Linked DNA regions of Saccharomyces cerevisiae S288C. The main gene of each other region encodes a partner of the protein of the gene in region 4 in a complex. Each region holds a gene or a part of one and is shown on either strand. Other genes may lie near its edges. The genes, in order: FIP1, CFT2, PTA1 and SWD2.

Evidence for each region.
Region 1: SWD2 (region 4) and FIP1 share a complex: the UniProt entries of both Saccharomyces cerevisiae proteins name them as parts of the cleavage and polyadenylation factor (CPF) complex.
Region 2: SWD2 (region 4) and CFT2 share a complex: the UniProt entries of both Saccharomyces cerevisiae proteins name them as parts of the cleavage and polyadenylation factor (CPF) complex.
Region 3: SWD2 (region 4) and PTA1 share a complex: the UniProt entries of both Saccharomyces cerevisiae proteins name them as parts of the APT complex.

What each region holds. Positions count from the first base shown.
Region 1 is NC_001142.9:600,436-608,202, reverse strand, and holds FIP1 (cleavage polyadenylation factor subunit FIP1), read left to right. Parts: upstream 1-3,999; coding exon 4,000-4,983; downstream 4,984-7,767. Other genes in the region: transcription factor IME1, read left to right, coding at 2,552-3,634; BUD4 (Bud4p), read right to left, coding at 5,125-7,767. UniProt on the Saccharomyces cerevisiae protein: Polymerase-regulating component of the cleavage and polyadenylation factor (CPF) complex, which plays a key role in polyadenylation-dependent pre-mRNA 3'-end formation and cooperates with cleavage factors including the CFIA complex and NAB4/CFIB.
Region 2 is NC_001144.5:374,149-383,421, forward strand, and holds CFT2 (cleavage polyadenylation factor subunit CFT2), read left to right. Parts: upstream 1-3,836; coding exon 3,837-6,416; downstream 6,417-9,273. Other genes in the region: AVL9 (Avl9p), read right to left, coding at 796-3,090; mRNA splicing protein MSL5, read left to right, coding at 6,674-8,104; CLF1 (Clf1p), read right to left, coding at 8,323-9,273. UniProt on the Saccharomyces cerevisiae protein: RNA-binding component of the cleavage and polyadenylation factor (CPF) complex, which plays a key role in polyadenylation-dependent pre-mRNA 3'-end formation and cooperates with cleavage factors including the CFIA complex and NAB4/CFIB.
Region 3 is NC_001133.9:58,195-66,959, reverse strand, and holds PTA1 (RNA-processing protein PTA1), read left to right. Parts: upstream 1-5,907; coding exon 5,908-8,265; downstream 8,266-8,765. Other genes in the region: cyclin CLN3, read left to right, coding at 1-1,182; Rho family guanine nucleotide exchange factor CDC24, read right to left, coding at 1,556-4,120; retrograde cargo receptor ERV46, read right to left, coding at 4,397-5,644; GCV3 (glycine decarboxylase subunit H), read left to right, coding at 8,498-8,765. UniProt on the Saccharomyces cerevisiae protein: Essential in pre-tRNA processing. Component of the cleavage and polyadenylation factor (CPF) complex, which plays a key role in polyadenylation-dependent pre-mRNA 3'-end formation and cooperates with cleavage factors including the CFIA complex and NAB4/CFIB.
Region 4 is NC_001143.9:398,755-406,428, forward strand, and holds SWD2 (WD-repeat containing protein SWD2), read left to right. Parts: upstream 1-5,347; coding exon 5,348-6,337; downstream 6,338-7,674. Other genes in the region: SPT23 (Spt23p), read right to left, coding at 78-3,326; RAM2 (bifunctional protein farnesyltransferase/protein geranylgeranyltransferase), read left to right, coding at 3,814-4,764; MCO12 (Mco12p), read right to left, coding at 4,826-5,125; ATP-dependent 5'-3' DNA helicase HCS1, read right to left, coding at 6,436-7,674. UniProt on the Saccharomyces cerevisiae protein: The COMPASS (Set1C) complex specifically mono-, di- and trimethylates histone H3 to form H3K4me1/2/3, which subsequently plays a role in telomere length maintenance and transcription elongation regulation. Involved in mediating RNA polymerase II termination.

The DNA.
Region 1 (7,767 bases), on a different chromosome or scaffold from region 4:
TCAAATTTTTCAAGCTGGTCTTACTCGGCAGGTAGGAACTTCCCAGTGGGTCTGAGTTTTCTCTCCGGAAGGTATTTATCATTATGCACGACAAGTGCGATTCAATCGAAAGATTATAAATTTCGCGATGAACAACATCTGATAAAAAAAAAATTAAAAAACAATAATCTAAATGATATGTATGGGTTAAAAAGGATGTATGGATGGAGGGTTGGCATAAAAATGAAAGGCAGAAGATGGGCGGCTAAAAAGGTATAGAGATCGTACGTCACCGTCACAAAAATCACTCATAGAATGCACTATCATCCTTACAATACCATACCAGCCGCAAGAAAAAAAGAAAAAAAAATCAATTCATATCATATATTATCTATATCATGCTGTTCTTTCCGCCACGGCCCGTATGGTGTTGGAGTAATTTGATTAATGTATTCCCTCACGGAGGTTCAGTAGATATTCTCAATAAAAGAAGGGTGGGGGTGTATTTGCTGCAAGAATGCGGATGTCAAAAGAACCTCAAGAAGTCCACTAAATGGCAGTAAATGCCGCGCTTACATTTTTAGCGACTGCCGAAAACGTACGGCTAACTGCTGTACCTCAAAAGCATAAAATTGTGATGTTGATTAAAACAAGTAGGCGTTGCATATATAGACGTGGGTAGGAAAAAAGTGAGCGCCAACACTATATAAGAAACCGTTTCTGGATACACCCTCGTGAAGAAATAGGGTCCTGCATTGATATTTTCAAACTTATATAATTAATAATAATTAATAGCGCTTAGTTTAAAGAATTTGAACTATTTTTTGGCCAACTTGGAGAAAGAATGTGTACTTGATTATTGGCATTCCGCGTATTTACGCGGGGATAAAGAGAAAACAAAGGAGAAAAGGAATTTCCTCAATTCCGATGACTAGTACCTCCGAGCAAGCAATCATCGGCGAACAGATGTAAAAAGAGAGTTTTAAACACTGAGTTTTATTTATCAAGAACGTACCCGTACAGCTATCGTTTCAGGCAGATAACAAAAATGTGATTGAAATTAAAGTAGTTTTGTTTGGAATCATGATAATTAAATATTTCATTAATTTGAAGTTACTAAGTAATGAAGCTAGCCCGAGAAACGCAAATGCTCAGAGAGCCCGGCAGTAATTGTGTACACAGAACTATACAAGCCGCTGGATAAAGCTTATTCGTTGATGTCATCCGCTATTACCTCTCCTAATCATGGCTGCAGGAAATCTTTTCTCTCAACATCTTGTACCACTTTAAAATGCGGTAGCAAAGGACAAACGGTAAAACGTTACACTGCCACGGTGTTATAGCAGCCGCAAAGTGAGTAAGCATGTGATGGTACCTTCAATACTGCGTTGGAGAAAAAAAGTGCGTATCTTTGTTTACTTTTCGTCTTCGAGGGGAAGGATCAAAGGCGCATGCGTGCCCGCAGGAGGGGGCGCCAGGATTGGGGGTAGATACAACATCAAGGAAGCGTCATGGTGGCTTCTTGGGTCTTAAATACGCAGGGAATTAAAGTTTCATTTATGTGCCTTTACATGCACTCAAAAACCTTCTTAGTTACAGGAAAAGGTAAAGATACGATAAGAAAAGCCTTTGAACTGCCCATCCTGCATCCTAACACAGATCTAACTCACTATTCGGGTAAGGAAGTGTCATGCATGTCTGCAAAGGGACTAGAAGAAAGTTACATGATTACATAAGCAAAAAATCGGAATTACAGACACACCATTTTTTATCCTGCGGCCCCATTTCCGTCTTCGAGGGAAAGGATCAAAGGCGCTTAGCCCAATCTTGATGATTCACCGGGGAAGAAAGGAATTACAGAACCCCCAGCCACGTAACACAGCCAATTAGTTTTCTATATCGGGAAACGTGATTGATTGCGCAATTTTGGCTGCATCAGAATACATCGATGAGATCTAGAGCACCCTTTGATGGTTTAAGTCCGGTTTAAAGTTAGTAGATCAATGATTTCGTAGTGCATTTTAAAGGGAGCGCTTATCCATGGGTGATTGCGTTTACAACGTTTTGTGTGTACTCATAATAGCCAATCTAAAATTAAACAACAACAACAACGCACAATTAATATGTATCAGCCCCAATACCTTTTTCTCTTACTGTAATTTACTACTAAATTGGGGTCGGACGTTTTTGATCTTGTTCCTTGCCTGTTGTTTACCTTGTATATTACTTTTCCTCTTTTATGTATTTAAGGTAAATTAATTATCTTTTGATCTTAATATTTTTCTCAAAATGCTTCCCTTGTAGTTCGGTATTTTTGCTTCTTCAGATATTTAAACTACCGTATACCATAACTGTTTCGTGAAGTAGATACAAACATCGACTATCCTATTACGATTTATTTTACATTATCATATTATAAATCGACCAGTAGTATTGTTAAAGATTAAAAGCATAATATACTACTGTCATTAGTCACCTACAGAGAAACAAATTCCTACTGGCACCCATTACTGGTGAAAAAGGAAAAAAATAATAAAAGAAAAGCTTTTCTATTCCTCTCCCCACAAACAAAATGCAAGCGGATATGCATGGAAAACTTCACGCTGCCTTAGAAGATGGTTTCTTCCTCTTTCCTTTTGAACAGCAACAACAACCTAACATTTATTATGACACAACCACCGATCAAGAAGACCGTCCTTGTTTTTCTTTTGGATCTACAATTTCCCCTAGAAGTTGGCATTTTGAAAAGTCTGACAAAATTGCCTCATCTCAGCTGCAGAACTTGGTTCATACACAACCAATTCATTTAATTAATCCTCAAATATTGTTCAATGAAGAGTTTCTGAATTTGGAAAATATTGATTCTCAGCCTATTTCCAAGGAAACGAAAACTACGAAGGACTGCACAATGGCAACTGGTCCTGAAAGAGGAAAAAAGAGCTCTGAAAGTACCAGATCCTCTTCATTATCATCTCTTTTTTCTAATGATGAATCCGCATCTACGTTCCACTCATCATTCAATAACCATGATAACTTTCAAAAGAGCAACAGAAATGGAGATGATATCGATATTAGTGACACAATAAAATATGAAACTAATACAAATGCACAAAAAGATATCAAAATATTCCAAGAAAATTTTGAATTCAATGAATTCCCATACACACAAGACTTCTACCCATATACCACTAATTATACCTATTCAAAACCCACAAATATTCATGAATCAATAAATTCAAAAAACACGGATTCATACTCCCAATATCAAGATCAGTTTCCACCACATACTGATAACATACATTCCTTTAATAATCGTCACTATAGCAACCATAAAAGCACTAATTGTAATTACTATAATAATACCAGCAATAATAACAACGCCTCCGATAATGTATATGAGGCAGATCCATTTATAGATGAACCTCAGGTGCCCTCCTACTATTACCCATTAGAAATTGCCTTCGACGTTGAAAAATCACCACCGCCATCACTACAAAAATTAAATTCAAAAGAGTTAGAATTCCTAAAAAAGTTGAACTCCAAACTGTCAAGATATGCTGCGGCTTACTCCTTCAGCAGTTCTAATGATCAAGATTATTATGACAAGGTCAGGTTTCAAGAAATATCCTACAAGTTTAGTAAAACCTATTCTTAATTCTCGAAAAGTACTACAATCTTCCCCCTTCCCTCAAAATATATCCATTCACACTCATTTCTTTATTTCCATTGTCTCACTCAAATTGCTAAGAATTTGTGTATTTGCATATATATATATTATATATAGGTATATATATGTATTCAATGTCTCAAGCTCCATGACATAATACCGTAGCGTTATTAGCCTTATCGTATGTCGCGATGGGAAAGGAGATTCGTTTTAATCTTGAAAAACCTTCGTAGCGAATAATGCGACATAAATCTTGAGAGAGTACATCACCAAATTCACTTTGTTAAACCGCACCATCGTGCTTTGCATTCTTATTCCTTTTGCCTACACTAAAATTATTAGCATTTCTCTAAATGAGCTCCAGTGAAGACGAAGACGACAAGTTCTTGTATGGTTCCGACTCCGAATTAGCACTACCTTCATCTAAACGATCAAGAGATGATGAAGCAGACGCAGGTGCGTCCAGTAATCCTGATATAGTTAAAAGGCAAAAATTCGACTCTCCCGTGGAAGAAACTCCAGCTACTGCCAGAGATGATCGTTCTGATGAAGATATCTACTCTGACTCCTCAGATGACGATAGTGATTCTGACCTAGAGGTTATCATAAGTCTGGGTCCTGACCCTACTAGGTTAGATGCAAAACTACTCGATTCTTATTCTACCGCAGCGACATCTTCAAGCAAAGACGTAATTAGCGTAGCTACAGATGTATCCAATACCATCACAAAGACATCAGATGAAAGACTAATAACAGAAGGAGAAGCAAATCAAGGTGTAACGGCAACGACCGTAAAAGCTACAGAGAGCGATGGAAATGTACCGAAAGCAATGACTGGTTCTATAGACCTGGATAAAGAGGGAATCTTTGATAGTGTTGGCATAACGACAATAGATCCTGAAGTATTAAAGGAGAAACCCTGGAGGCAACCGGGGGCCAACTTAAGTGATTATTTCAATTACGGTTTTAACGAATTTACCTGGATGGAGTATTTACATAGACAGGAAAAACTACAACAAGATTATAATCCTAGGAGGATCCTAATGGGCCTATTATCCCTCCAACAGCAAGGGAAGTTGAATTCCGCGAATGATACAGACTCAAACCTCGGTAATATAATTGATAACAACAACAACGTAAACAATGCAAATATGTCTAATCTGAACAGTAATATGGGTAATAGTATGTCTGGAACACCAAACCCTCCCGCTCCACCAATGCATCCAAGCTTCCCACCCTTACCTATGTTTGGTAGCTTTCCACCATTCCCCATGCCAGGTATGATGCCACCCATGAACCAACAGCCTAATCAAAATCAAAATCAAAATTCGAAATGAATGGGGATCTGTGAAATTGAAATAAAAATATATCGTCCATGATTCACGTATTTACTCTTATTATGTGTATTTAATTAATCTTTAAACTAAAGACCTCTCAGTCATCAGATTATATGCTGTTTTCATTCCATTAATCACCTTCTAATTAAAATCTTGCTTCAAATTATGACCGGTTGTTCGAGTCTTTTCCTCCTCAGCTAACTTTTCACAATACTTTTTCACCCAGGGTTGATGGAAAACATTCAACTCAACAACTTCCTGGAGCTTATTGTACCAATCACTTTTTTCCTCATTAGAGCATTCCGCGTTGAAAGTAATTCTTTCACCATCGTCAAATACTAGCTGGAAGCATTCATTAAAGAGTACCCAATCTGTAAAATTCCTTTGCCCTCCATTATCCGCCTGGATGTCTTCATTACGTAGGACTTTCGTGACTTTCAACAGATTAATATCGATCTTAGCCTTTCTAGAGATTTCATGATAACCAGAAAGTTGCGAGCCGTGCAGTTTGAAAAACCTGTTTTCTATCTTTCCTTTCAGATCACCACCATCCTGCAATAAATACCCTTCTTTATAGATATTTTGTTGCAACTTGTATTTGGAAACAATCTTATTGACCAATGAAAATTGTTTGGGAAATTGTTCAAAGGCAGAAGTTCTTTCTAAGAAACATGCTTCCACATCCAACGAAGCCACTTTGTGAGGCGCCTTGCGTGGTAACTCGTACAGCCTTTTTGAGCCGTGAATTTTGTCTGCGATTCTACTCCACTTGTTAATCATATTGTAATGCATATGACTGGTATTAAATGCCACGTTTTTCAAAAACTCTTCATTAATTTCAATTTCACAACGAGCAAATGAACCGTCTTGTGCAAATAGATAATCCCACTCATCTTGTTTAGGTTTTTTCTGTACATACTTCTTTTCAAATTTATACTTTGTCTTTCCAAAAAAACTCTTACCCACCGGCACCTTGTCTACTATTTCGACCAATTCATGTCGAGGTTTTTCATATTTACATTTTAATGTGATAACACATTTTTTGTAGCTATCTCTTTCAGAAGAAGCGGAGGATGTTTCGGCTTTTCCTTTAAAATCTATGGGCAATTCAAATTCCTTATTGATCCTGATGTTACCGTCATACGGAAGCGACTCCCAGGGTGTCTGAACGACATTTTCCCCATTGTCAAAAACAATAGCATATGTTGCTCTATGACTCTTAGTTCCATATAATGCAAGCGTGGAAATAGCCTTTATACTTAAATAAAGTGTTCCCATATCCGGAAATTCTTGTTCAACGTCTTGTGGTTCTTCAAGTTGAGTTATCGTTTCTTCTTTTGCTTCGACGTTATCTTTTGTCTGCGCTAGCAGTGGAGGAATATCTTGTTTCAAACCATCGGTTTCTTGCTGCGTCATTGGCTCTATTTCCTCTTCAGCCTTAATGTTTATTTCATTATTCTCTTGTTTGTTTCCAGCTTTCACGACCTTGAAAGGACTGCTAACATGCCGTTTTATTGGACTTATACTACGAACTGGAGTGGAAGGGGTCATTTTATCTTCTTCGAAATCGTCGAACATGTTCAAAGTGATGGCATCACTATTATTCATGCCCTCTGGACGAGAGTCAGTATCGCTGAAACTTGCCTCATATCCTTTAATGCTTGCAGCTAGCGCAATTGAAACATCCTTAACTGGTGTTTTCAGCATTCCAATCCCCAAACCAGTCCTTGGTTCAGTTATACGCTCTTCTCTAATTTTTTCCAAATCTGCGTCATCTTTAGTATCTGATTCTAATAATTTTTGCAGGACGTCGGGGGCAATAGGTTGCTTTCTTATGGAAGGTGGCGGTTTTAGTTCGTAACTGCTTTCCCAAAGAGAATTGAAGCTTTTCTTTGAACTGTCTCTTTGAAAACTGGATGAATCATCCGGCCCATGATTGAAAGATGTGGAGTCATGATCCAAAGCGTCTAGAAAATTAGCAAAATCCTGACCCAATTCCTCATCAAAGGATAAAGATAGTAAATCGCCCCTATTAAAAGTGATATCACCCGCACTCTCTATTTCCCGAATGGAAATTTCAGCTTCGTCCTGGGTATTGGTTGGTAATTTCTGTTCATCGAGGCCTACATTTGTTGTGATATCTTGTTCGCTTAGGTGCGTACTTAATGGGATATTTTCGTGTTCTTGCGGTTGTTCTACCTCCAAGAAATGATTCTGAAAACCAGAATCTTCGCCATTAAGTTTCATGATGCTTGGCCTAATAAGTGGAGCGTGACCCTTTTGAGTTCTTATGTTATCTTGAATCCTTTTAGAGATGAGTGTATTTCTTCTCATAGGGTCGAGTGCATTCCATTCACTGTTGCTTAAAATGTAATCTTCATTATCGTAGTAATTCAATGAGGATACTCTGCTTTTTGGATTGTAAATCCTACTCCTGCTCACTATTCTAGGTTTGAATTTGAACGAAGTTGATCCATTATCCTTCTTAGAATCGACCGTAGATGCAGTGGTAATCGAGGATTGTTGTGAAAATTGGGAGTTGGCAATGGATTCTGGTGAATTGGATTTGATTTCCTCTTCTTGGATATGCCATATAGAAATGTAATCTGATGGTTTCATGGATCTGGTTAAATCGATGGAATCATTGGAGGTATCATTTTCATCTATAAATGGCTCGTTGAATTGAATTTCTTCCCATCTTGGCAGGGGTGGTAAGAGGGGAACGTGTTCCGGCTCTTCATTTTCTTCGACTTTATGGTACTCACTTTCATCTTTCTCGGTTTC
Region 2 (9,273 bases), on a different chromosome or scaffold from region 4:
AACAATTAGTTTAGATCCGAGATTCCGCGCTTCCACCACTTAGTATGATTCATATTTTATATAATATATAAGATAAGTAACATCCGTGAGTTAATCTGATAAACCGTTTTGACAACTGGTAACTTCCCTAAGACTGTTTATATTAGGATTGTCAAGACACTCCGGTATTACTCGAGCCCGTAATAAAACAAAAACAATAAATCTTGTTCCTCGTGGCCCAATGGTCACGGCGTCTGGCTACGAACCAGAAGATTCCAGGTTCAAGTCCTGGCGGGGAAGATTTTTTTGCTCCGACAATTATGTCGCTACCCTTCAGTTTTGTTGAAAATGATGCTTTTATCGTTAACTTTACTTATCTTTATTGTTTGCAAGATTACTATTAATATTAAAGAGGGTCTAGCAAGGATACTGCGATTGTTTCTAAATATTTCAACTTTCTACGTTATTCATCTTTAGGAAGCTAAAAAGCATTCAAAAGATTACTATGAAGTTAATCTTTAAACATAGTTTGATGAGCGTCTATGCAAATAGAATAACTTCAAAAAATTTTCTATTCCATTTTTGGAAAGCCCCAAAAAGCTATATTCTATAATTTCTGAATCTTATTGTGCTTGTGGAGGTCACCCCAGTTTTCTATAAATTATTATTCAGCTATTATCCCAATACGACTAAAGGTATTGAGATTCACGGATATTTTTTCCCCTGCAACTTTCACAACTGGAGGGCTCTGTTTCTTGATTTTCTTTTTGTCATATAAACATATCTTAGCGCGATTGCTAACAAATAGTATAGATATCATAATTTTTCCTCATCCTGCACACAATTACCTATAGCAGCGTCATTCGCACCGCCCTCCTCATTGGATTTTTTAACTGTATTTCTCGTTTTAGATGAGTCTTCAACATTTCTATCGTTTTCATAAATATCAGTTTTACTGTCGGAATTTTTATTGCTCTCAGGACCACCTTCAATATCTTTATCTGCAACGGTTTCGTCCTCATTAAAATTTTCTGCATTACCCTCAAAATTCTGTTCATTTTCTTTATCATGATCAGTGTTAATGTTCGTAACGTCTGTAAAACCATTGCTAAAATCTTGACTGTCTTCCTTATCGCCATTTTCATCGCCCTCACCGTCATCGCCATTTTCATCGCCCTCACCGTCATCGCCATTTTCATCGCCCTCACCGTCATCGTCATCGTCATCGTCCTCACTATCATCGTCATCACCACCATCATCATCATCATCCTCAGAGTCCTCATCAGTATCATCATCTTCATTGTCCTCACTATTTCCCACCTCTTCACTTTGTTGATCTGTCTCCGCATCAGGTTTATAATGTAAACCCAAGCCCATCATAGCTTTCTGTATCGCGTTCGATGTTTTACTTCTGTTTTTGAGATCTTCTGTGGATTCAGTAACATCTTCATTAGCAGTATTCTTTGGTTTATTGAAATATTCCTTCCATGAATTCCATAAGTTGGCTGCTGGCTTGTCTGTATTCTTTCCAGGATTTACAGAAATTTGGGAAACAGACTTTTTTGACTCGATGCTTTCCTGGTCTTTGATATCCTCCTCGCTTTGATGACCATTTTTATTGCTTGAAGAGTTGCTAGAGCTTCTTTTTAAATTATGAAATGTGGCCAAAAATCGTTGCTGTAATAGAGACAGAGTGTCGGCACCGTTATATATATGCTTCGGAGGAAACAAGTCGAACAATCTATCATCTGTTCTTGAGTTGAATATCAGAAAATTTTGAGTCTCTTTCCAACTCTGAACCCAATTCAAATTGAATAAATGAACGGGATTGGAATTTAGCATATCCTCAGGTATAGTCTTCAAAGCTTGATCATTCTCTTTATGCAGGTCCAAATAATCACTTAATTTAACACTGGAAAGTAACCCCGTTAAATAGTCCTCGAATTGCCACCTAATGAAATCCTCACTGCCTTCAAATTGAGAGTTTTTTGGAGTTTCATCATCATTTTCGTTCCATGTGTCTGATACAATTCCAGATATAGATTCAATCCATTTTTTATCATGACTTGACAATTGGAGGACGGGGTTCAAAGTCTTGTCCAGAATATCTACAGTGGAATTGTCTGTATTGACAAATATGTGGCACAGTTCCTCCTTTTGTTCAGCAAGCAATGTGTTGGAACTTCCAATCATAAAAAACAAAGTACGTTCTGACCGTATGTCATTCATTTGCTGCAGTGGAGTATAGGGTGAAAATAGTCCACCTTTTTCGAAAATCGGTAATGGAAAACCTAAGAATCTCAACACTGATTCTCGATTGCTTGATTTAAACGAGTCCACAACATTTAATTTCGAAATATCCTGAAACAACTGAGGACTGCCAGAATCCTGCAAATTTGACATCAAGTCCGGAATTAAGCTGATCAGACCGAACTGTAAATTACACAAAGCTTCCACGTCGTTGCCGTAAACTATAATTTTTTTTTCAAGCATAATTGCTTTCAATAAGACTAAAGCGTTTCTCTTAAAATCATGTAGTATCTTTCTCAGACATAACCCAATATAAAGACGATTTTCGGCATTTCTGACCAATGATGCAGGCGTGTAAATCGACTTCAGGTTTTCGTATAAAGACTGGATTATCTTCCTGTCCCCAAAATCATGCTGCAAGAAAAAAGCATTAGTCACAATACTAAGTTTGTCCTTGATTTGACCGAAGATTGGTTGCCTTGAGATGACTACAATTGCCTTCTGTACAGTAGATCGTGTTACATCCTTATCTTTAGTGACCAATTCATCACTCTTTATCTGTCTCGAGCAAGATATGGCAAACAAAGTCGTGTTGTCATTGATGCTATCATCACTCAGATCAGTTGCCCCGTTGGGAGGGCTCCTTTGTCTTCTTTCATCATATAGTAATGTGAAATAAGTAAATGTTTCTTCAAACGAGTGAGAACCATCAGGAAGGGCCTGGAAGGGTAAATTTGGCCATAGTTCTGCACTTTGGGTGCCCTCAGGTAAGCCATACCAGTATTCTATTTCAGGGCCTCTTTTGTGATGAAAGTCCACAAGGCAGATACCGAAGATGACTGCTTCCTCGTGTTCATCCATTATTTTGACAACAAGGTTGCAGCGAGGCAGAATGTATATGTTAGTTTGATATGGTCTTCCTGCTTGGATTCCTTTAAGGCTTCAAAATTTTCTTGAAAAGGAAACTTCGTGAATGAGCTGTAAGGATGCTTGATCGGGCCGTACATTCTTATGCAAGATCCATTATTGACTGCTCTCTGTTGGGTTAGCTTCCATATCTTCCGTTACCCGTTCGTATAATCATTACCCGACGGACAAGCATCATTTCAGCGGCTATTTTTGCTAGGCAAACCTCCTAAGCAATGATACTTCTCAAACGTTCAATGGAAGTAATAGAAGTTCAACTTACCCCATTAATAATCCACACATTAGAAGGTTGGGACAATAAAAATAAAAAGCATTAATTAGTGTAAACTTTGCTCCCAAATGCAAGTCTAAGGTAAGTTCTTTGGTTCATGGAGTTTTTGCAGTGTAATCTCACGTGCACTAGACTGAGTAAAGCGAACCTGAGTTCAAGAAATAATGATTCACCTATGACATATAGTCCAACTATACAAGCAATGAACCCTTACGGATTGAAGTCATTCAATGTTCAATGTTTGTTGTAATAAGAAATATTACTAGAAAAAGATTTTTTCTTTCGGCGGCGTTTTCCCGCTTTTCTTAAACAATCTGCAGTTTTAACATCGAATTCACGAATATTTGTTCGCTAAAGAAATAACACAGAAGATGAAATGAAGAACATACATTGAGGGCGACGAATATATATGACTTATAAATACAATTGCTGTGATGATGGATCAGGAACCACCGTTGGTTCAGTGGTACGATTTGATAACGTCACCTTGTTAATCGATCCCGGTTGGAATCCATCTAAAGTATCGTATGAGCAATGCATCAAGTACTGGGAAAAAGTGATACCGGAAATTGATGTAATAATACTATCACAACCAACAATTGAATGTTTAGGTGCTCATTCCCTTCTGTACTATAATTTTACCTCGCATTTCATATCCAGAATTCAAGTTTACGCAACTCTTCCTGTTATCAACTTAGGGAGAGTTTCCACCATAGATTCATATGCATCTGCAGGTGTTATAGGTCCATATGACACAAATAAACTCGATCTTGAAGATATTGAGATATCTTTTGATCATATTGTACCTTTGAAGTACTCGCAATTGGTAGATCTACGATCAAGATACGATGGATTGACTTTACTGGCGTACAATGCTGGTGTGTGTCCAGGTGGTTCTATTTGGTGCATTAGCACATACTCAGAGAAATTGGTTTATGCAAAGCGATGGAACCACACTAGAGATAACATACTAAATGCTGCTTCTATATTGGACGCCACTGGTAAGCCCTTATCAACTTTGATGAGGCCCTCTGCAATAATTACTACTTTGGACAGGTTTGGCTCCTCTCAACCGTTTAAAAAACGTTCAAAAATCTTTAAAGATACATTAAAGAAAGGTTTGAGTTCGGATGGGTCCGTTATAATACCGGTAGATATGAGTGGCAAATTTCTGGACCTGTTCACACAAGTTCATGAGTTATTATTTGAAAGCACAAAGATCAATGCGCACACACAAGTACCTGTACTTATTCTGTCTTACGCGAGAGGAAGAACTCTAACATATGCCAAATCAATGCTCGAGTGGCTGTCCCCTTCACTACTTAAGACATGGGAAAACAGAAATAATACTTCTCCATTTGAAATTGGATCACGGATCAAAATCATCGCACCAAACGAATTGAGTAAATATCCTGGTTCAAAGATTTGCTTCGTATCTGAGGTAGGAGCTTTGATTAATGAAGTGATAATTAAAGTTGGTAATTCTGAGAAGACAACCTTGATTTTGACCAAGCCGAGCTTTGAATGTGCGTCGTCTTTAGACAAGATACTAGAAATTGTTGAACAAGATGAAAGAAATTGGAAAACATTTCCTGAAGATGGTAAATCATTCCTCTGCGATAATTACATTTCAATAGACACCATAAAAGAAGAACCCTTGAGTAAAGAGGAAACAGAGGCGTTTAAAGTACAGCTTAAAGAAAAGAAAAGGGACAGAAATAAGAAAATTCTACTGGTGAAAAGAGAGTCTAAGAAACTGGCTAACGGCAACGCAATCATAGATGATACCAACGGAGAGAGGGCAATGAGAAATCAAGACATTTTAGTGGAAAACGTCAATGGAGTACCACCGATTGATCATATTATGGGGGGTGACGAAGATGATGATGAAGAGGAAGAAAACGACAATTTGTTGAATTTACTCAAGGATAACTCTGAGAAATCAGCAGCGAAAAAAAATACGGAAGTTCCTGTAGACATTATAATTCAACCAAGTGCCGCTTCAAAACATAAAATGTTCCCATTTAACCCCGCTAAAATCAAGAAAGATGATTATGGTACTGTTGTAGATTTTACGATGTTTTTACCTGATGATTCTGACAATGTTAATCAAAATAGCAGGAAAAGACCTCTCAAAGACGGTGCTAAAACCACGAGCCCTGTAAACGAAGAAGATAACAAAAATGAAGAAGAAGATGGTTATAATATGAGTGATCCAATTAGCAAAAGGAGCAAACACCGTGCTTCTCGTTACTCGGGATTTTCTGGAACCGGAGAAGCAGAAAATTTTGATAACCTTGACTATTTAAAGATAGACAAAACGCTCTCCAAAAGAACAATCTCAACTGTAAATGTCCAATTGAAATGCTCCGTAGTAATCCTAAATTTACAGAGTTTAGTTGATCAAAGGTCTGCATCTATTATATGGCCATCGCTAAAATCTAGAAAAATAGTTCTTTCCGCCCCCAAACAGATTCAAAATGAAGAAATTACGGCAAAACTTATCAAGAAAAATATTGAAGTGGTCAACATGCCATTAAATAAGATAGTGGAATTCAGTACAACAATAAAGACCCTGGATATCTCCATTGACTCCAACCTCGATAACCTTTTGAAATGGCAACGTATCAGTGATAGTTATACAGTTGCCACTGTCGTTGGCAGGCTGGTTAAGGAGAGCCTACCGCAAGTGAACAATCATCAAAAAACAGCGTCAAGGAGTAAACTAGTCTTGAAACCATTACACGGTTCATCTAGGAGCCATAAAACAGGTGCGTTGTCAATCGGTGACGTTAGGTTAGCACAATTAAAGAAACTTCTCACAGAGAAAAACTACATTGCAGAATTTAAAGGGGAAGGTACACTTGTCATAAATGAAAAAGTAGCAGTCCGCAAAATCAATGATGCAGAAACTATTATCGATGGTACGCCTTCCGAACTTTTTGATACTGTCAAAAAATTGGTTACGGATATGTTAGCAAAAATCTAGCCTTCTTGTATACAGCACAAATAAAAGGTTCAATTTACGTTCGTGGACTGCCCACAAAACAGTATGTGACATAAATTGCTGTGTATCTCGCACCGCTATTATCTGTATATAACATTCTAACTCACTTTTAACGATATTAGCATTATTGATTTCTTTCTTTTTCTGCTGAATTTCACCAAGCGGAAATTTTCAAAGCAGAATTTTTTCCCTAATTTGCTACAAGTGCTATTCTATCCCACAATAAAAGGAAATTGTTGATGAGTTTTAGAAGGATTAACTCTAGATACTTTGAAAATAGAAAAGGAAGCAGTATGGAAGAAAAAAAAGCAAAGGTTCCTCCAAACGTCAACCTTTCGTTATGGAGAAAGAACACGGTAGAAAGCGATGTCCATCGATTCAATTCTCTTCCATCAAAAATTAGTGGGGCCCTAACTAGGGAACAAATATACTCCTATCAAGTCATGTTTAGGATTCAAGAAATTACCATCAAACTGCGTACGAACGATTTTGTGCCCCCCTCCAGGAAAAATAGGTCACCTTCTCCGCCACCAGTTTATGATGCCCAAGGTAAAAGAACGAATACCCGTGAGCAGAGGTATAGAAAGAAACTAGAGGATGAACGTATTAAACTTGTTGAGATAGCCCTAAAGACCATCCCTTACTTCGTTCCTCCGGATGATTACAAGAGACCTACCAAATTTCAGGACAAGTATTATATCCCGGTGGATCAGTATCCTGATGTCAATTTTGTTGGTTTATTATTAGGTCCTCGTGGACGTACGTTAAGAAAGCTGCAAGAAGATTCGAATTGTAAGATTGCAATTAGAGGAAGAGGTTCAGTCAAAGAAGGTAAGAATGCAAGTGACTTACCTCCAGGCGCCATGAACTTTGAGGACCCCTTGCACTGTTTAATTATCGCAGACTCGGAAGACAAGATCCAAAAAGGTATAAAAGTTTGTCAAAACATTGTTATCAAAGCGGTGACATCTCCGGAAGGCCAGAATGACTTGAAACGAGGACAACTGAGAGAATTGGCGGAACTTAATGGTACTTTAAGAGAAGATAACAGGCCCTGTCCAATCTGTGGTTTAAAAGATCATAAAAGGTACGATTGTCCAAACAGAAAAATCCCAAATATACAGGGCATTGTTTGCAAAATATGTGGACAAACTGGACATTTCAGTAGAGACTGTAACTCATCGTCTCAAAGAATGAGCCGTTTTGACAGAAACGCCACGGTAAATAATTCTGCGCCAATACAGAGCAATGACGTACACTATAATAGCAATACTCATCCAATTCAAGCACCAAAAAGATCTCGTTATGACAATAACTCGACGGAACCTCCTTTAAAATTTCCGGCTTCTTCACGTTATGCACCATCACCTTCACCTCCTGCGTCACATATTTCGAGGCAAGCTCAAAACGTGACGCCTACACCCCCTCCCGGCCTAACATCAAGTAGCTTTAGTTCCGGAGTTCCAGGAATCGCCCCTCCCCCATTACAAAGCCCTCCAGAGTCGGAACAACCGAAATTTTCGCTACCTCCACCTCCCGGTATGACTACGGTACAATCCTCAATTGCACCTCCTCCTGGCCTAAGCGGTCCTCCAGGGTTTTCTAATAACATGGGCAATGACATTAACAAACCTACACCTCCGGGACTGCAAGGGCCTCCCGGATTATAATACACTCCCATTATACAATATCTGCATTTTTTTTTATTTGTGTTGAAGGTATGTAGTCTCTATTTTGCATAGTTCCTTTTTTTGTTGGTTTTTTGCCTTCCTGGTTATTATTAACTTTTGATATTTAATTTACTTACTAGCTTATTCTACTACTGTTTAGTTTCTACGGCCTGAACTACAATGACAAAAATATTATTTCACGATACCCTTACCTTTATTCAAAGTGCCTGTTCCTGTTTCCATTTTTTGGCTAGTTCCAAGAACTTTGATGGTTTTGGCTTGTCATCATCGATATCATCAGGAAAAATGTAATCCACGAATTCTTCTTCCACACCGTTCTGTAACCTCACTTTTTTGATTACTTTAGGGAATCTTTTCTTGACGGTTTCTTGATCGAGTTCAGTACCGTAAGTTTCTTCATAGTCTTTTAGCGCTTCCAAAATAGACAGTCTCCCTTGTTTATCATCCTTCTCCTTGAAAAAAACTATCGCCTCTTCAAAAACTTTTCTTGCCTCCAATTTATTCTCATCGGTAATTTCAAACTCTATGTCTTCATCCACATTTTCGCTTTGCAGTTTTGCTAAATCTAATAGTTGTTGCTCCGTCGGGGTTGAAGTTTGATACATGGCGAATTCGATCCAGCTTTGGGGGGAATATTGGTTGAGCTCCAAATATCTTCTATAAAGCTTCCTTGCCTTTTCAAATTCTTGTGATTCTGTCTCAAATGTTATGTATTTTTGAAGTAATACAATTTTAGCCTCCTTTGTTAAGAAATCAGAATTTTCATCTAGTGCAATTGTATATATACCTCTTACTCTATCCCAATCTCCTAAATTTTCTTCTAGTTCTCCATATTGTGACCAAATTTGTAGATCAGAGGGCTGAAATTCAATAAATTTCTCATATATTTTTCTCACACGATCAAATTCCTTCAACTTCACTTCCAACTCGATATATCCTTTGAAAGTTTTAGCCTTAGGACATAAACCGATTGCTTTACCCAAAATTTTTCTCGCCTTCGGTACATCATCATGTCGTATCAGAAATTTAGCATACATTAGCCATATTTTGGAAAAAGTGAAATGTTTATGAGGGATGATGTCGTCAATTAACCTCTGAAAAAGTTCTTCTTCTAAAAGCGAATTTTCCAATTCTAACTCAACATAGCA
Region 3 (8,765 bases), on a different chromosome or scaffold from region 4:
AAGCAATTCACGACTATGGAAATGCATCTTTTCAAATCACTCGATTGGTCCATCTGTCAGTCGGCAACATTCGACTCCTACATCGACATCTTCTTGTTCCAATCTACGTCCCCGTTATCGCCTGGCGTTGTCCTTTCTGCCCCTTTGGAAGCTTTCATTCAACAGAAACTGGCCTTATTAAATAACGCTGCTGGTACTGCTATTAATAAATCGTCCTCTTCTCAAGGCCCCTCTTTGAACATCAACGAGATCAAATTGGGTGCCATTATGTTGTGCGAGTTAGCTTCCTTCAATCTCGAATTATCATTTAAATATGATCGTTCACTAATTGCGCTGGGTGCAATTAACCTCATCAAATTATCTTTGAACTACTATAATTCAAACCTTTGGGAAAATATCAATCTGGCTTTGGAGGAAAACTGCCAAGACCTAGATATTAAATTGTCAGAAATCTCTAATACTTTATTGGATATAGCAATGGACCAAAATTCTTTCCCCTCCAGTTTCAAATCAAAATATTTGAATAGCAATAAGACATCTTTAGCAAAATCTCTCTTAGACGCATTACAAAACTATTGTATTCAATTGAAACTGGAAGAATTCTACCGTTCACAAGAATTGGAAACCATGTACAATACTATCTTTGCTCAGTCCTTTGACAGCGATTCATTGACTTGTGTTTACTCAAATGCTACTACTCCAAAGAGCGCTACGGTTTCATCTGCGGCCACAGACTATTTCTCGGATCACACTCATTTAAGAAGGTTGACCAAAGATAGCATTTCTCCACCATTTGCCTTCACTCCAACCTCATCTTCATCCTCTCCATCTCCATTCAATTCCCCTTACAAGACTTCAAGTTCAATGACGACCCCAGACTCTGCATCACACCATTCACATTCAGGTTCGTTCTCTTCTACCCAAAATTCTTTTAAAAGGTCACTGAGCATCCCACAAAATTCAAGCATCTTTTGGCCAAGCCCACTAACTCCCACCACCCCATCTCTAATGTCAAATAGAAAATTATTACAAAATTTATCTGTGCGTTCAAAAAGATTATTTCCTGTTAGACCCATGGCCACTGCTCACCCATGCTCTGCCCCCACCCAACTGAAAAAGAGATCAACTTCCTCTGTGGATTGTGATTTTAATGATAGTAGCAACCTCAAGAAAACTCGCTGAAACGACAAAAAAAAAATGCATTTAACAACAAATAAATTAAAATTTGCAAAGCAAATACGTTAACATACATTAATGATCTTTTTTTCTTTTTGTTTTCACAGGACTCATTATTTCTTTAAATATACTTATATTACATTTGCATAGAATTACAAAAAAAAAAAAATTATAAAAACGCACAACCTAAAATACGATTACTATCGTTTTTTCTCCTTACTTCCTCTAGTCACATTATACATTTTTTTTCATCCTTCACAGACGTATCTTAATACTAAGTGTGGATCAATATAATGGGTATAGCTTGAACATCTGCCCCTCTCTATCTAATGTTTTTTTCTTGAATTATTTAGTATTTGCTGTATACTAGTTTTATTTATCAATACAGACGAATGTTCAAGAATTTCTCATTGTTTTCCGCCAACATTTCTTTAGCAACATTCCAATCTTCATCGCTACCTAACACAACAAAATCCCCATCTTCGTCCTGATATTTGATCTTGGTGATTGGTGAAATGTTGTTATTATGTGTATTCGAAATTTTAGAATTGATCGCCATTATCAAGTCGTCAAAATTCCAAACTTTTTCTACCAAAAGTGTGAAGATCTCGCTACTAGAGGTATTATTAGAGTTGTTATTATATGATATCCTGAAGAGTATGGAAGATTCTGGAATAGAGTTCTTGAAATTTTCTGAAATGGATTTAATTTCACTTTCGAAACTTGATGAAGTGGTCCTCCGTTTAGGCAGGACATCCGAAACCCTTTTCATATGAGAACTTGAGAAAGAAGCCATACTATCGTGTGTCTGGCGGCTGTTGTGATGATTCGGTGTATTCATAGTTGTGGTGGGTGACATCATTGAAGATGATTTGGCTGTCGATGAAGTCGTCGATGTTGAAGAGTGATGTCTTGCCTTAAACTGCTCATTTTTCAGATCATGAATCAACTGTTGTAAACACGATGACCAATTATCTCTTGTTTCCTCATTTTTGAATTTCAAAAGGAAATTACCTTGCTCTTTTATGGATTCCCATGTTATATTTAATGACCGGTTGTTTTGCGGTATGATTTGATTCAGATTCATTATCATAATTCGACCTCTTAGATCCAGCTTAGGTTCGTTAGCGGACAGCTTGAATAATGAGGATGATGATGAATTGTTGGAATTGTTGTCACTACTATTGGTACTGGAATGTATTATCGCCGCTGCTGAAGACGAAGATAAATGGATATTATTACTGCTACTACTATTGCTATGCCTCTTATGGTAACTGTGGTGAGGGCTGCCATTGTTGTCCGTTATGTTCGAGGCGGAGATTGATGCTGAGGTTGAGGATTTCTTCTTAAGGATTAGTGATGATGCAGATTTCTTAGTCACTACCTCTGAAAAAAGGATGATGATTTTTTCAAAAAGATAAACCTCAAATTCTCTTTCAGGTTCCGAGGAGCTATTTGTTGTTGAAATGAACACTTTATCGAAATATAATAACTCACCGAACTTGGAAATTCTATAACCCTTCCAGTTGACCACTCTACCATAAAGTTTCTTCACCACTTGATGATTTTCTGTTCTTCTTTGATTTTCGTTGATACTTCTCGCAATATTTTTAGAAATATCTAAAGCAGCTTCAAGTTCTTTCGTATTATTATCGTCACTCGATTCAGCAAGCAATTCTTTGACCAACAGGGGATATCTACAAAGCCTTTGCACGGGTTTATAAAGGAAGGATTGCAATTCCAGTTTATTGTTAATTATGAACCGCTGCGATTCATCAACCCTCATCTTGTGCAAAGTTGAAGAGAGAAATTCGATGGCTGCATTTTGGCCAATAGACCAAGGCTCATACAACTTAAAAAAATGTTTGGAATGCATGAAAAGAGCCCCGATTCTTTGCTTGGAAGGTTCTACTAAAGCATTTATTTCCAAGGATATTAGAAATCTTCTTTGAAAATCTATAGCATCACCCAAATTAGGGAACAACATGTACAACTCTTCAGACGTTATTAGATTGCTGTCTAATAACTGCTGTCTATATTTATCCAAAATTTCCAAATCGTGAACATATTTTCTTTCCGTTGCAACGAATTCCTTGATAATTTTAACATACTCGTTATGCTTCTTCGAAGACTGCTGAGGCTGATGTCGGTGTTGGTTTTCTGCGTTCATGATTTGCTGTGTCTTACTCTTAGAGGGGAAAATAGTAGGGCTGGAATTCATTAGCGTTTCTACTACTTCTAGCACTTTGACCAGCTGGGAAGTAGAGTTGGCAAAAACGTCGGATATAGTGAAAAGCTCCTCATCGTTAAATGCAAAGTGTTTCTTGCAGCCCAATATAAAGTCATAAATGGATTTTTTACAGACTTTCAAATCGTCAGATGCTATTACCGGTAATTTAAATTGCGGCTTCACAGAGTTGAAAAGTATACAGAGGGGCGCACCTTGTTGAAACAGCTGTGATAGTTGTGTCACAGGGTCGCAATCCATGGTAATGGGCAAAATACCCATACTAAAAGTCAGTAAAGTGTCCTCCATATTTGGGGTGGCCGAGGGATTCGAATTCGTGTATGATATACCTTCCATCGACATGAGACTGGTAGCTGTGGAGATAGAGCTAGACCTTAAAGTTGGTGCCAAGTCGCTACTGTCCCGGTTAGCGCCATTGGACTTGAGCAGTTCCTGATGCTGCTTTTGGGATAGCAAAAGAGATTGCCTTTCACTCAAAACCTCGCTCGATTGGTAGGCCAATTGTAAAAAAGGTTTGAGTTGAGGTAACACCTCCAGTCTTTTCCGGATGTTTGCGCATATATGGAACAGTGAGTCCTGTTCCGTGACAGGCTTGTTCATGACATTTTGCATGGGTATGGAGATGGAAGTTGCACTTGGTTTTGGTTTCAAATCGGATAAAGATGTGCCCGAGGCAAAACGGGTTTGGATCGCCATGATCTCTCGGGTTGGATTAGCAGACAGGTCTTGATAGGGCTAGGCAACAAATGATAACAGCAATGGTACTCTTCTGCTATCCTACCATAGCCACATTCTTGTTCTGTTTCTACCTTAAAGCTTCTGTTTTCCACTTCTTCCCACCAGTGCGTCGTTCTTCGCGATTATCGTACAATATGATATTTGTACAAGTAGTGATATACCAATTTCTATACTATATATATATATTATGTAGTAGTATGTAGAAAGGGCTCTTCCCTATGACAGTCTCTTCCTCTACTGGCTCTTCTTGCCCCAGATCGATCTCTGTGCTTTGTAGAATAGCTTGTCCATGACAGTGCCCACAGCTAGGACACCACCAATGCTGGTGATACAATTCAAGATGAAGCCCGACCAAGTCTGCCCGTGCTGTTCCTTATTGATGACTTTCAATGGAGACATTTCGAAAAAGACGAACATACCAGGGATACCACCCCTAACGTGAAGTGTGTTTGGATGATCCTTGTCCCTTCCACCGGCAAGAGGTCGGGAATGAAAAGTGGCGCTGAACTGCGCGGTCTCAATGACAACATTATCCAAGTACTCATATCTGGTGGGGACAATCTTGGCAAAATACGAGAACTGGTGAAAGTGTGTGTTCCTGTCCGGGAACACCTGGCGTCCGTCCAAGGGAGAAGTGGCAACTACGGCGCCGCCGTGGCGCTTATCGTTTCCTAACAACTTACTGTGGGACTGGATCGGCTTCCCAAAGCTCAAATGATTGATGATGTGGTTGAAGTTCAAATTCGAAGTCTTGTCGTACAAAGAAGTATCATGAAAATGTCCATATGCATTCTGGTAGGGTTTTCCAGGGGCAAAGTGAAGATTCCCCTGAATTCTGTTAATTTGTGCAGAACCTTTGATCCTGCAGCCTTCATTCAAGTGCTCGTTAATCTTGCTGACATAGCCCTCTCTTTCACACTGCTCGATATTCTTCCCGTCGAAAAAAGCCCAGCCTGCCTCCAAGTATGCTGATCTCACTGCATCACAGTCTTGGCAGCAAACCTTCTCTTCCTGTGCTAGATTCTCATTCTGCGACTGATCTTTGGCACCGTAACATGGCCCACAATAGTTAGGATCGTTATTAACCGGCGCGGTTCCGTCGCCGTTCCCACCCACATGCAACTCAGTAGCATCTCCCACGGGGCGACCCTCGCTATTCAACCTAGACATCGTGAACCCTGCGTCAAGAATGTCTAGTTGCATCTCTCCAGAGTCGTCCATAATATCGAGATTCACCAGGTCACATGGCATCGATGGAAATGTCACATCCATATTAAGCTCCAGCTTTGCGTGTCGGTCACGGTCCACCACCAATTGTGGCCTTGTTACCACAGAATTGAACTGTCCCCACTCGTTCACCAGCAGAAATAACGTGGTCAAGATGCACGATAAAGTGATCAGCCCGCCGGCCCTGGTGCGGACTCGTACGTCCTCTTCGGTCTTAGCGAATGCGTCCAGCGACAGCAACGTGGACCTTTTCATGATGTCTATTGTGTCTAGCTATGTGTGTTATATCACTGTCCTACTCCGCATGTATACGAGACATAAAACTAGCTTTCCTTTATAATGGCGTGGTTTCCACTCCATCTTGATGGAAAATCGCCGTTCTGATGTTCAAGTCGTATATAGTGACTTGATCTAAAAGTGAAAAGTTGCCATATTTCGATACCTTTTAACCGTTAGTACTTGACTGAACAAATGGTTAAATCGTGGCAAGAAGCATATAACTACCACTAAGCAGCGCAATGTCATCTGCAGAGATGGAACAATTGTTACAGGCCAAGACACTGGCCATGCACAACAATCCAACGGAGATGCTGCCCAAGGTGCTCGAAACTACGGCATCCATGTACCACAACGGTAATCTCAGCAAGCTGAAGTTGCCTTTGGCCAAGTTTTTTACACAGTTAGTTCTAGACGTGGTGTCGATGGACTCTCCAATTGCGAATACTGAGAGACCGTTTATTGCTGCTCAATATCTGCCACTACTTCTTGCTATGGCGCAATCCACCGCGGACGTACTAGTGTACAAGAATATCGTGCTTATTATGTGCGCTTCATACCCGCTGGTGTTGGATCTGGTTGCTAAGACATCAAACCAGGAAATGTTTGATCAGTTGTGTATGCTGAAGAAGTTCGTGCTCTCGCACTGGAGAACTGCATATCCTTTGCGTGCCACCGTTGACGATGAAACGGATGTCGAACAATGGCTGGCGCAGATTGACCAAAATATCGGCGTGAAATTAGCGACCATCAAGTTCATATCTGAGGTCGTGCTGTCGCAAACTAAATCACCCAGCGGCAACGAGATTAATTCATCTACCATCCCGGATAACCACCCTGTGTTGAACAAACCGGCTTTGGAGAGCGAGGCTAAGAGGCTTCTTGATATGTTGCTAAACTACCTAATTGAGGAACAGTACATGGTCTCGTCCGTTTTCATTGGTATCATCAATTCTTTATCCTTCGTCATCAAAAGAAGGCCGCAGACAACAATAAGAATTCTTTCCGGGCTGTTGCGTTTCAACGTCGACGCCAAGTTTCCCCTAGAGGGCAAGTCTGACTTGAACTACAAACTATCCAAGAGATTTGTTGAAAGGGCGTACAAGAACTTTGTGCAATTTGGGCTAAAAAATCAAATCATTACAAAATCCCTCTCATCCGGATCAGGGTCATCGATCTACTCCAAGCTGACCAAGATTTCTCAAACTTTACACGTTATTGGCGAAGAGACCAAGAGCAAGGGAATTTTGAACTTCGACCCTTCCAAGGGCAATAGCAAGAAAACGTTGTCCAGGCAGGACAAACTAAAATACATCTCACTATGGAAAAGGCAATTATCCGCGTTATTGTCTACTCTAGGGGTGTCCACAAAGACCCCCACGCCTGTGTCCGCACCTGCAACGGGCTCTTCAACCGAAAACATGCTTGATCAACTGAAGATATTGCAAAAATACACCCTCAACAAGGCTTCACACCAGGGCAATACTTTTTTCAACAACTCACCCAAACCAATCAGCAACACCTACTCATCTGTGTACTCATTGATGAACAGTTCGAACTCCAACCAGGATGTGACCCAGCTACCCAATGACATACTTATCAAGCTGTCCACAGAGGCCATCTTGCAAATGGACAGCACGAAACTGATCACCGGATTGTCTATCGTTGCTTCGAGGTACACGGATTTAATGAATACGTACATCAATTCTGTACCGTCCTCGTCATCATCAAAGAGGAAATCCGACGATGATGACGACGGCAACGACAATGAAGAAGTTGGAAACGATGGCCCAACGGCTAATAGCAAGAAAATCAAAATGGAAACAGAACCACTAGCGGAGGAACCAGAGGAGCCCGAAGACGATGACCGAATGCAGAAGATGCTTCAAGAAGAGGAAAGCGCCCAAGAAATCTCAGGAGATGCCAACAAATCAACTTCTGCCATTAAGGAGATCGCACCCCCCTTTGAACCTGACTCATTGACGCAGGATGAAAAACTAAAGTACCTCTCAAAGCTGACCAAGAAACTGTTTGAATTATCCGGTCGCCAGGATACTACCCGGGCCAAATCTTCGTCTTCCTCCTCCATATTACTGGACGATGACGACTCCTCGTCATGGTTACACGTCTTAATCAGATTGGTTACGAGAGGAATCGAAGCACAAGAGGCCAGTGACCTGATTCGTGAAGAACTGCTTGGCTTCTTCATCCAGGATTTCGAGCAACGTGTCAGTCTGATCATTGAATGGCTCAATGAAGAATGGTTCTTCCAAACCTCGCTGCATCAAGATCCCTCTAACTACAAAAAATGGTCCTTAAGAGTTCTCGAGTCTCTGGGTCCATTCCTTGAAAACAAACACAGACGATTCTTCATCAGACTTATGAGCGAACTGCCCAGTCTTCAAAGCGATCATCTTGAGGCACTGAAGCCTATCTGCCTGGATCCGGCAAGAAGTTCCCTTGGTTTCCAAACGCTAAAGTTTCTCATTATGTTTAGACCCCCAGTGCAGGACACTGTTCGCGACCTGCTGCATCAGCTAAAGCAAGAAGATGAAGGCTTACACAAGCAGTGCGATTCACTGCTTGACAGGCTAAAATGATCACAACCATTACATACATCATATATACGCATGTGTAGGGTCTTCCTTCAACTTGCAAATCAATGTTTTATCTATCATTCTGTGCTATAGGGACCTCGCAATTTTGACACTTCCGTAAGGAGTCATTCAGCGGCGGAGTCACTTTCGCTAACTCTTTCTTCTATATATACAGACCAACAAACAAGTATCTAATGGGAAAGGGAATCTCCACATGAAGCATACCACATCGACAATGTTACGCACTACTAGACTATGGACCACCCGCATGCCCACTGTGAGCAAATTGTTTTTGAGAAACAGCTCCGGCAATGCCCTAAACAAGAATAAACTACCATTTTTGTACTCATCCCAAGGACCTCAAGCCGTGAGGTACACTTCCCAACATGAGTGGATAGCTGTGCATCAGGACAAGACTGCCTTTGTCGGAATTACAAAATACGCCACTGATGCCTTAGGGGACGCTACCTATGTTGAGTTGCCAGAAGTGGGCACTGAGATTG
Region 4 (7,674 bases):
AAGATAAAATTCAAAAATGCAAAATAATAAAAAATGAATCTATATAGTGTAAGGATTATGTAGCTAGAAAAATGTCTTTAATTGACTCGCATGTCGTTTAGAATGTTATTGTTTTGAAACTTCGATAACTGCATTTTAAAAGAGGTTTTCATCCTTTCGTTGCCTAGTAGTACCTTGGCTAAACCAATTCTTAAATATTCCTGAACAATTTTGGATAAATTATGAAACATATCATCATCTTTCCCCAAATTCGATAATGTGAAACATAATAAGAGTACTAAAGTTAAGGGGATCCAAAAGAATAGGAGCATCTTATCATTCTGAAAGTTTTGCTTCTTGGAAAAGATTGTGTTGAACCCGACCTGTAAAGCTTCTAATTCATCGTCTTCAGAAGAAGTTTGAGAATCATCCACGGTCATTTGGGCAGAATTATCTGGCCCAATCTCCACAGATTTGCTACCAAGTTCCCAGTTTTTGGGTTTTTTTGGGAACAAGTCTTCATACTTTGGGAGCTCGTCATTTAAACGAGTTAGCATTCTGTTCCATAAAGATCCGTCAGGCTCTATGCTAGTCTTAGTAGTTTTTGGTATTTCATTTGGCTTTGAAGAGAAGTCCTTGATTTTGTGGGTGTTAAAGAACTCCAAAGCAATCTCATCTGAAGATGATTCACAATCACTTATGTCATAACCTGAATCCGAATCTAGGATTGAGAATGACGTATTGTCATTACAGTTGGATTGTTCGGGGGCAAGGGCAGCGGAATCCGCCAATAAATATTTTCTTTCTTGGACATAGTCATGATCAGCATCGTCATCATCAAATAAACTTGAGTTGAAACTTGACTGGGATACATTTCTCTCAAACGGTTGAGTATCACTGGATCCTGTTGTATTCTTCGTTAATCTAGTCAGAATGTCGTCAAACAGACTGGTTTCATAATTAGAATATCTGGTCTTGTTGACAGTATAATTCATCAGGAAGAACTGTTTAGCGATAAAGCCGTTTCTGGTTTTCTTCATAATATTAACGTTGCATTCTAACAATAGTCTTATAATTCTCAAGTCACCATTAATACACGCCATATGTAGCGGAGTAAAACCAAATAAATCTTGGTCGTTCAAATGCGACCCATATTTGATTAGTAATGAGACAAGACTATACCAGTTATTGAATGCTGCCAGATGTAATAGAGTTCTACCCCTAACGTCACACATGGAAAGATTGACGGTAGAGAGATTATTATTTCTCTTAAATGACTTAATAACTTCAGTGATCAATTGTTCATCGTTTATATTTCGCATCATATTCGTGTACGAATTTAAAGAGCTATTCTGTGAGTGTAATCCTGCGTTATTATTAGATGGAGATGAATCACTGCCAACAATCCTTTTAGCAATATTTCTTGCATCTTCCAGTTTACCGTTCATTTTCAGCCCCACAATTTGCAGAGCCAATTCAATTAGTTGCCTATCAGTATCATCAACATAAGTAAAGATTGCTTTCTCACCGGTATACTTGTTTAAGTGCAGAATGTCATTGGTACTATTGCTGGTGGAAACACTACTATTGCTATTATTTCTCATAGACGTTTCACTTGGGTCGACTATGGTTACCAAAACCGGTCCAGGTTTAGATGAAGGCGGTAAATAAGTCACCATCGTAGATTCATTCCAGCATTGGCTGGACAATGCTATATTTTCGCCAAACTTGATGATTAAGCCCTGCTTAAACTTTGAGCCAAGTAGAGTCACTTCTATACCTCCGTTGATGGAACCTTGTGCGGGGATGACACGCTGAATAGAAGGCTTGTTATTTAGCGCCACGGGGACACTATTATGGTTCGATATATCTTTGGAAGAATCGATGAATTTCTGGGGAAGACGGGAAAACGTATTAGGCGTAGACATAAAAGGCTCGTTTACCGAACGCTGCCTCTTGCCAGTGTGTCTCGCAGAGGCCGCACTGAAATCACTAGTTAATGTAGTAAGAGCGGGATTAGATGAACTATTAAAACCTGTGGACGACCAAGAGTCTAGTGAACGATGTAAATTGTTGTCGTTGTTATTAGAAAAATGAATATCTGAAAAAGAATGGTTGCTGTCCTCACTGGAGGAATTTGGTGATGGAAAGTGTCTGTTGTTGTTCATCATTGCGGTATTAGTCTTAATGTTGTTTTTGTTATCATTATCATTGTTGTTGTTATTACAATTGCTATCAAGCATACAGTTCGTAGAAATGACAAAATTTTTACTGTTAGAAGGCAGGGGGAATTCGGATGGGAAGTTTAAGTCACTTTGCGGCGATGAAAAGGATCTAGTGTCATTTGTCATTGGCGAAACCTGGGCATTGCTGGTGCTGGTTGGAGTTGTGGTATTGCTGGCATTTTTCTTGTCCATGATCATTATGGGATCTGTTATAGTTTTCGCCAAGATATCGCCGTTATGGTCCCTTAGAAGGAACAAAACTACAAACCCGTTAGTTGCCTTGTGGTGTCTGCAGTAACAGACGATTCTCGTCGGTAAGTCGAAATTGATACAGTTAGAGTTACCACTCAAACCGTTATTACTAATGATGAAAAGTTGTTTACTATTGAATATGATTGCTCTTTTGTTTTCGTTATTTTGCCAGATGGAGTTGTCGTTCAACCCAGACTTTCTTCTCGACGCTCTTCTTTTTTCCCTGTTGATACATCTATTACAAACATAGGTCTGCTTGAAGTTGTTGCTATTGTTGTTAGATGCACACAAAAGAAAGGCGTCCAAGAAAAGAGTCCTTTCGTTGATGTCCCTATTGGGTATTGTCAAGTTGGTGGGATCGTCCGAGCTGGTGAAAAACTTGTCCTTCGCTATACAATCAGAGGGCAGATGAATAAAGAAGTTTTTTCTTGCATGTGCGTTTCTAATCCGAAAACTCAGCTTCATCTGAGTTTCCACCCTAGAAACCTTCGGCAACCCAATAATTTCTAGAGACAATGGAAGGGACTGCGGGTTAATGTTGATAAAATCCAGTGGATTCGCGTATGGCGTCCTCAGAGGTAGCTTTCTGCCAAATTGAACGTGTCGATCAAGCAATCCTTGCAAAGATGCGATGTCATCCCTGAGCTCCCCTTCATCTTCCTTACCTGGTGTAGTAGTACCTGCTGTTATCATTTTCTCTTGGTTCAGACTCAATAAACCAGGGTCTTGCAGAGAGGACCCAGAGTTGAGCAGAGCAATATCCAGTAATTCTGATTCTAGTAAATCCAAGTCCGGAGAGCCATCGTTGTGCTGTATGTTGGCGCTATAGCTGTGGAGCATCGAGGAAACGTTTCCTGTGCCACTCATCATTTTCAGTGGTGTACTACTGTTGTGATTAGTCGTTTAGAGGATATCTAGAGTATAATTATTTTGAATGAGTTTCGTTGACATTTTCAGTTCATGCGATCATCTTACTTTCATGGTTGCTCCTTGCCGTTAAAATTGAAACGAAAAAAGCGGGAATACAACAATGTCACCTTACACGAGCAGAGAAAAGGGCAGCAATAGCGACAATAACCGATAATGCCAGGCCTTCCAGAGCCCTATGCTGACCTATATTCATCATGACGCTATCCATATGCAACTAGAGACCTGCTGGGAAGCGCTCTCTCATTTTTGAAGGTTGCAGCAGTGCTCGCGCCGGTTTTCGATTGGGCCTCGTGATAAAACACATCAGCAAAGTTTCGCTTTTGACATTCTGTTAAATTGGTCCTTAACTGTTGGTGCAGACCTACTGCAAGACTGTTAATTATGGTATATTATATATCAAGTGCTGATACAACGTACACCATCGAAAATGGAGGAGTACGATTATTCAGACGTTAAACCTTTGCCCATTGAGACAGACTTGCAGGATGAACTGTGCAGGATTATGTATACCGAGGATTATAAGCGGTTGATGGGACTCGCAAGGGCTCTGATCAGCCTTAACGAACTGTCACCCAGGGCACTACAGCTAACAGCCGAAATTATCGACGTGGCGCCAGCCTTCTACACCATATGGAACTACCGATTCAATATCGTCAGGCACATGATGAGTGAATCCGAAGACACTGTCTTGTACCTGAACAAGGAATTAGACTGGCTAGATGAAGTTACGCTGAATAATCCAAAGAACTATCAGATCTGGTCCTATAGACAGTCTCTTTTGAAGCTACATCCGTCTCCTTCCTTCAAAAGAGAGCTGCCTATCTTAAAACTGATGATTGATGATGATTCCAAGAATTATCACGTTTGGTCGTACAGAAAGTGGTGCTGTTTGTTCTTCAGTGACTTTCAACATGAGCTCGCCTACGCCAGCGACCTCATCGAGACAGACATTTATAACAACAGCGCATGGACTCATAGGATGTTTTACTGGGTGAACGCTAAAGATGTCATTTCAAAAGTGGAATTGGCCGACGAGCTCCAGTTCATTATGGACAAGATTCAATTGGTTCCGCAGAACATCAGTCCGTGGACCTACCTCCGTGGTTTCCAAGAGCTATTCCATGATAGGCTACAGTGGGATAGCAAAGTAGTCGACTTCGCCACAACCTTCATCGGTGACGTATTGTCACTTCCAATTGGCTCACCAGAGGATTTGCCCGAGATCGAGTCCTCATATGCCCTGGAATTCCTGGCATATCACTGGGGGGCAGACCCTTGTACCCGAGACAACGCTGTTAAGGCCTATAGCTTGCTAGCAATCAAATACGATCCTATTAGAAAAAACTTGTGGCACCACAAAATAAATAATCTGAACTGAATATATGTAAGCACTCTATTTGTACGAATATATTTACGTGTGTACGTGCATGCACGCAAGTTTAATCTAGTTCTACAAACCTACTGCTGTATTGAGATTGATCTCTTCCCCTTCGTTTTGGACCGCTATCATTGATGCGTCCAAACCCGTCCTCGTTCAACTGCTTTCTGAAAAATTTAGAACGTTTAACCATCTTCAGCGTCCTTGTGTAGCACATCTCTCCCCATGACAGATATCTATGTATCCAGCCGCCCAACTGATACTGGTTGTAAAAGAATATCATTCCCGTCTCCCTTCTTATTGCCGATAGGAGCATAGCTACCAACGTCCCCTCTACTACCCACCTTATCATTCCCAACATCTTGCAATATGTTACGATCTGATCTTCACTCTCTTTTGCTCCTTCTTTTTGCTGTTTAACTGTTACCTACACTCATTTATTCGATACCTTTTTTTACCCATTTTTTCTTCATGCAGTTTAGCACTAGTACATTAAAAAAGAAAGAAAAAAAATGAAAGCAAGACTAAAATATCGAGCAAAGCACAAGCAAATACACCGTTTGTCCTTTTAGCATAGCCAACAATGACCACCGTGTCCATCAATAAGCCCAACCTGCTGAAATTCAAGCATGTTAAAAGCTTTCAACCTCAAGAAAAAGACTGCGGACCCGTAACCTCATTGAATTTCGACGATAATGGCCAGTTTCTACTGACCTCTTCTTCCAACGATACAATGCAATTGTACAGTGCCACGAACTGCAAATTCTTGGACACTATAGCCTCTAAGAAATATGGCTGTCACTCCGCTATCTTTACGCACGCACAAAACGAATGTATCTATTCCTCTACAATGAAAAATTTTGACATTAAATACCTTAATCTGGAAACAAACCAATATCTAAGATATTTTTCCGGTCATGGCGCCCTAGTGAATGATTTGAAGATGAACCCCGTGAACGATACGTTTCTATCGTCGTCATACGATGAATCCGTTAGGCTTTGGGATTTGAAGATCTCTAAACCGCAAGTTATTATACCAAGTCTCGTACCAAATTGTATCGCATATGATCCAAGTGGCCTTGTATTCGCATTGGGGAACCCAGAGAATTTCGAAATAGGGCTATATAATCTGAAAAAAATTCAGGAGGGTCCTTTCTTGATAATTAAAATTAATGATGCGACTTTCAGTCAATGGAATAAATTAGAATTTTCTAACAATGGAAAGTATTTATTAGTTGGCTCCTCGATAGGAAAGCATTTAATTTTTGACGCATTCACAGGTCAACAATTATTCGAACTAATAGGAACAAGGGCCTTCCCGATGAGAGAATTTCTAGATTCTGGATCTGCTTGTTTCACACCAGATGGTGAATTCGTCCTTGGAACCGATTATGACGGTAGGATTGCCATTTGGAATCATTCTGATTCAATAAGTAACAAAGTATTAAGGCCGCAAGGGTTCATTCCCTGTGTTTCTCATGAGACCTGCCCCAGGTCAATTGCATTCAACCCTAAATATTCGATGTTTGTTACCGCAGACGAAACAGTAGATTTTTACGTGTACGATGAATGACTGCTGCTACTGCATTGATATACTAGAGGATATAATATATAACGAACATTTTTTACCTACTGTATAACGACGTATACTCTATACATCTTGTGTATTCTTTACAAATAATCGTCAATGTTGGGGTACCTTACGTCAGCGTTCTCTTCACACCATTCTGACCAACTTTTTAGGTACTTGTTACCGCACCTTTGCAGAACTTCTATATTGCCAACAACAACTAGTTGCCTTCTGGGTCTTGTCATGGCGACGTTCAGTCTTCGTTCTTCCTTAAGGAAACCAACTTCAAATTTTTCATTGCTACGAACTAAACTCAATATGATAACATCTTTTTCACGGCCCTGGAACCCATCTACAGTTGATATTTCAATATCAGTTAATTTTAATTCATCATGGATCAATTTTTTCAGATGAGAAACTTGTGCATTGTATGGAGAAATAACACCTATAGAGTTCTCCGGGACGTTGAATGACCTTAAATTCTCAATGTGTTCTTTTACAATGGCAATTTCGCCCTCATTATACTTAGATCCAAGGATAGTAGCTTCATCTGCAGTCTCTTGAAATTCATCACCTTGCGTATCATACCAAATTAAAGGAATTTTTGTATCGTCATCATCCTCAGATGGCGTAGCATCGACGGTCGGTAGGTCTATCAAAAGTCTGTTCGCGACCGTTGCATCGGCCAATAGTTTCCCATTATACATTGAGTGCGATGGAAATTCCATAATTTTTTGATTCATCCTGTATTGAACGTTAAGAAATTTTACCATATCCCTTTTCGGGAATATTTTGATTATTCTGTCAAATAGTGTGGTTTCCAAATTGTGAATGACATTTTTGTCGTCTTCTGTTTTGATTGTGGGTGGCAATTGTTTATTGTCACCAGCAAGGACTAGTTTGTGGAACTGATTTTGATGTGCAATTAGTGGGATCCAGCATTGTGGTTCCATGGCCTGTGAGACTTCATCGATGATCAAGGTATCGAAAAGCTGGAAATTTGGATCATCTCTATAAAGGGAGCATAGTTCTCTCGATGATGAACCGTGTAAAGTGGTGACGACTATTCTCGATTGTATTATTAAGTCCTTAATGGTTTTGAACTCTCTTTTCTTTAAATCTTTGCGCAGCAGTTTAATTTCGTTCCAGTTTTCTTTACGTTGCTTATAGTTTTTTAGTTTTTTATTCTCCTGAATTAATTTGTCAATCTCCTGGGAAATGTCCTTCACAATAGTATTCTTTTTACTAAGTATATCAAGAGAGTGTCTTTTATTAGAGTCTAATAGCCTAGCAGGATGACCGATTCTTAATAATAAATTATTCGGCACAAGAGGCGTTAG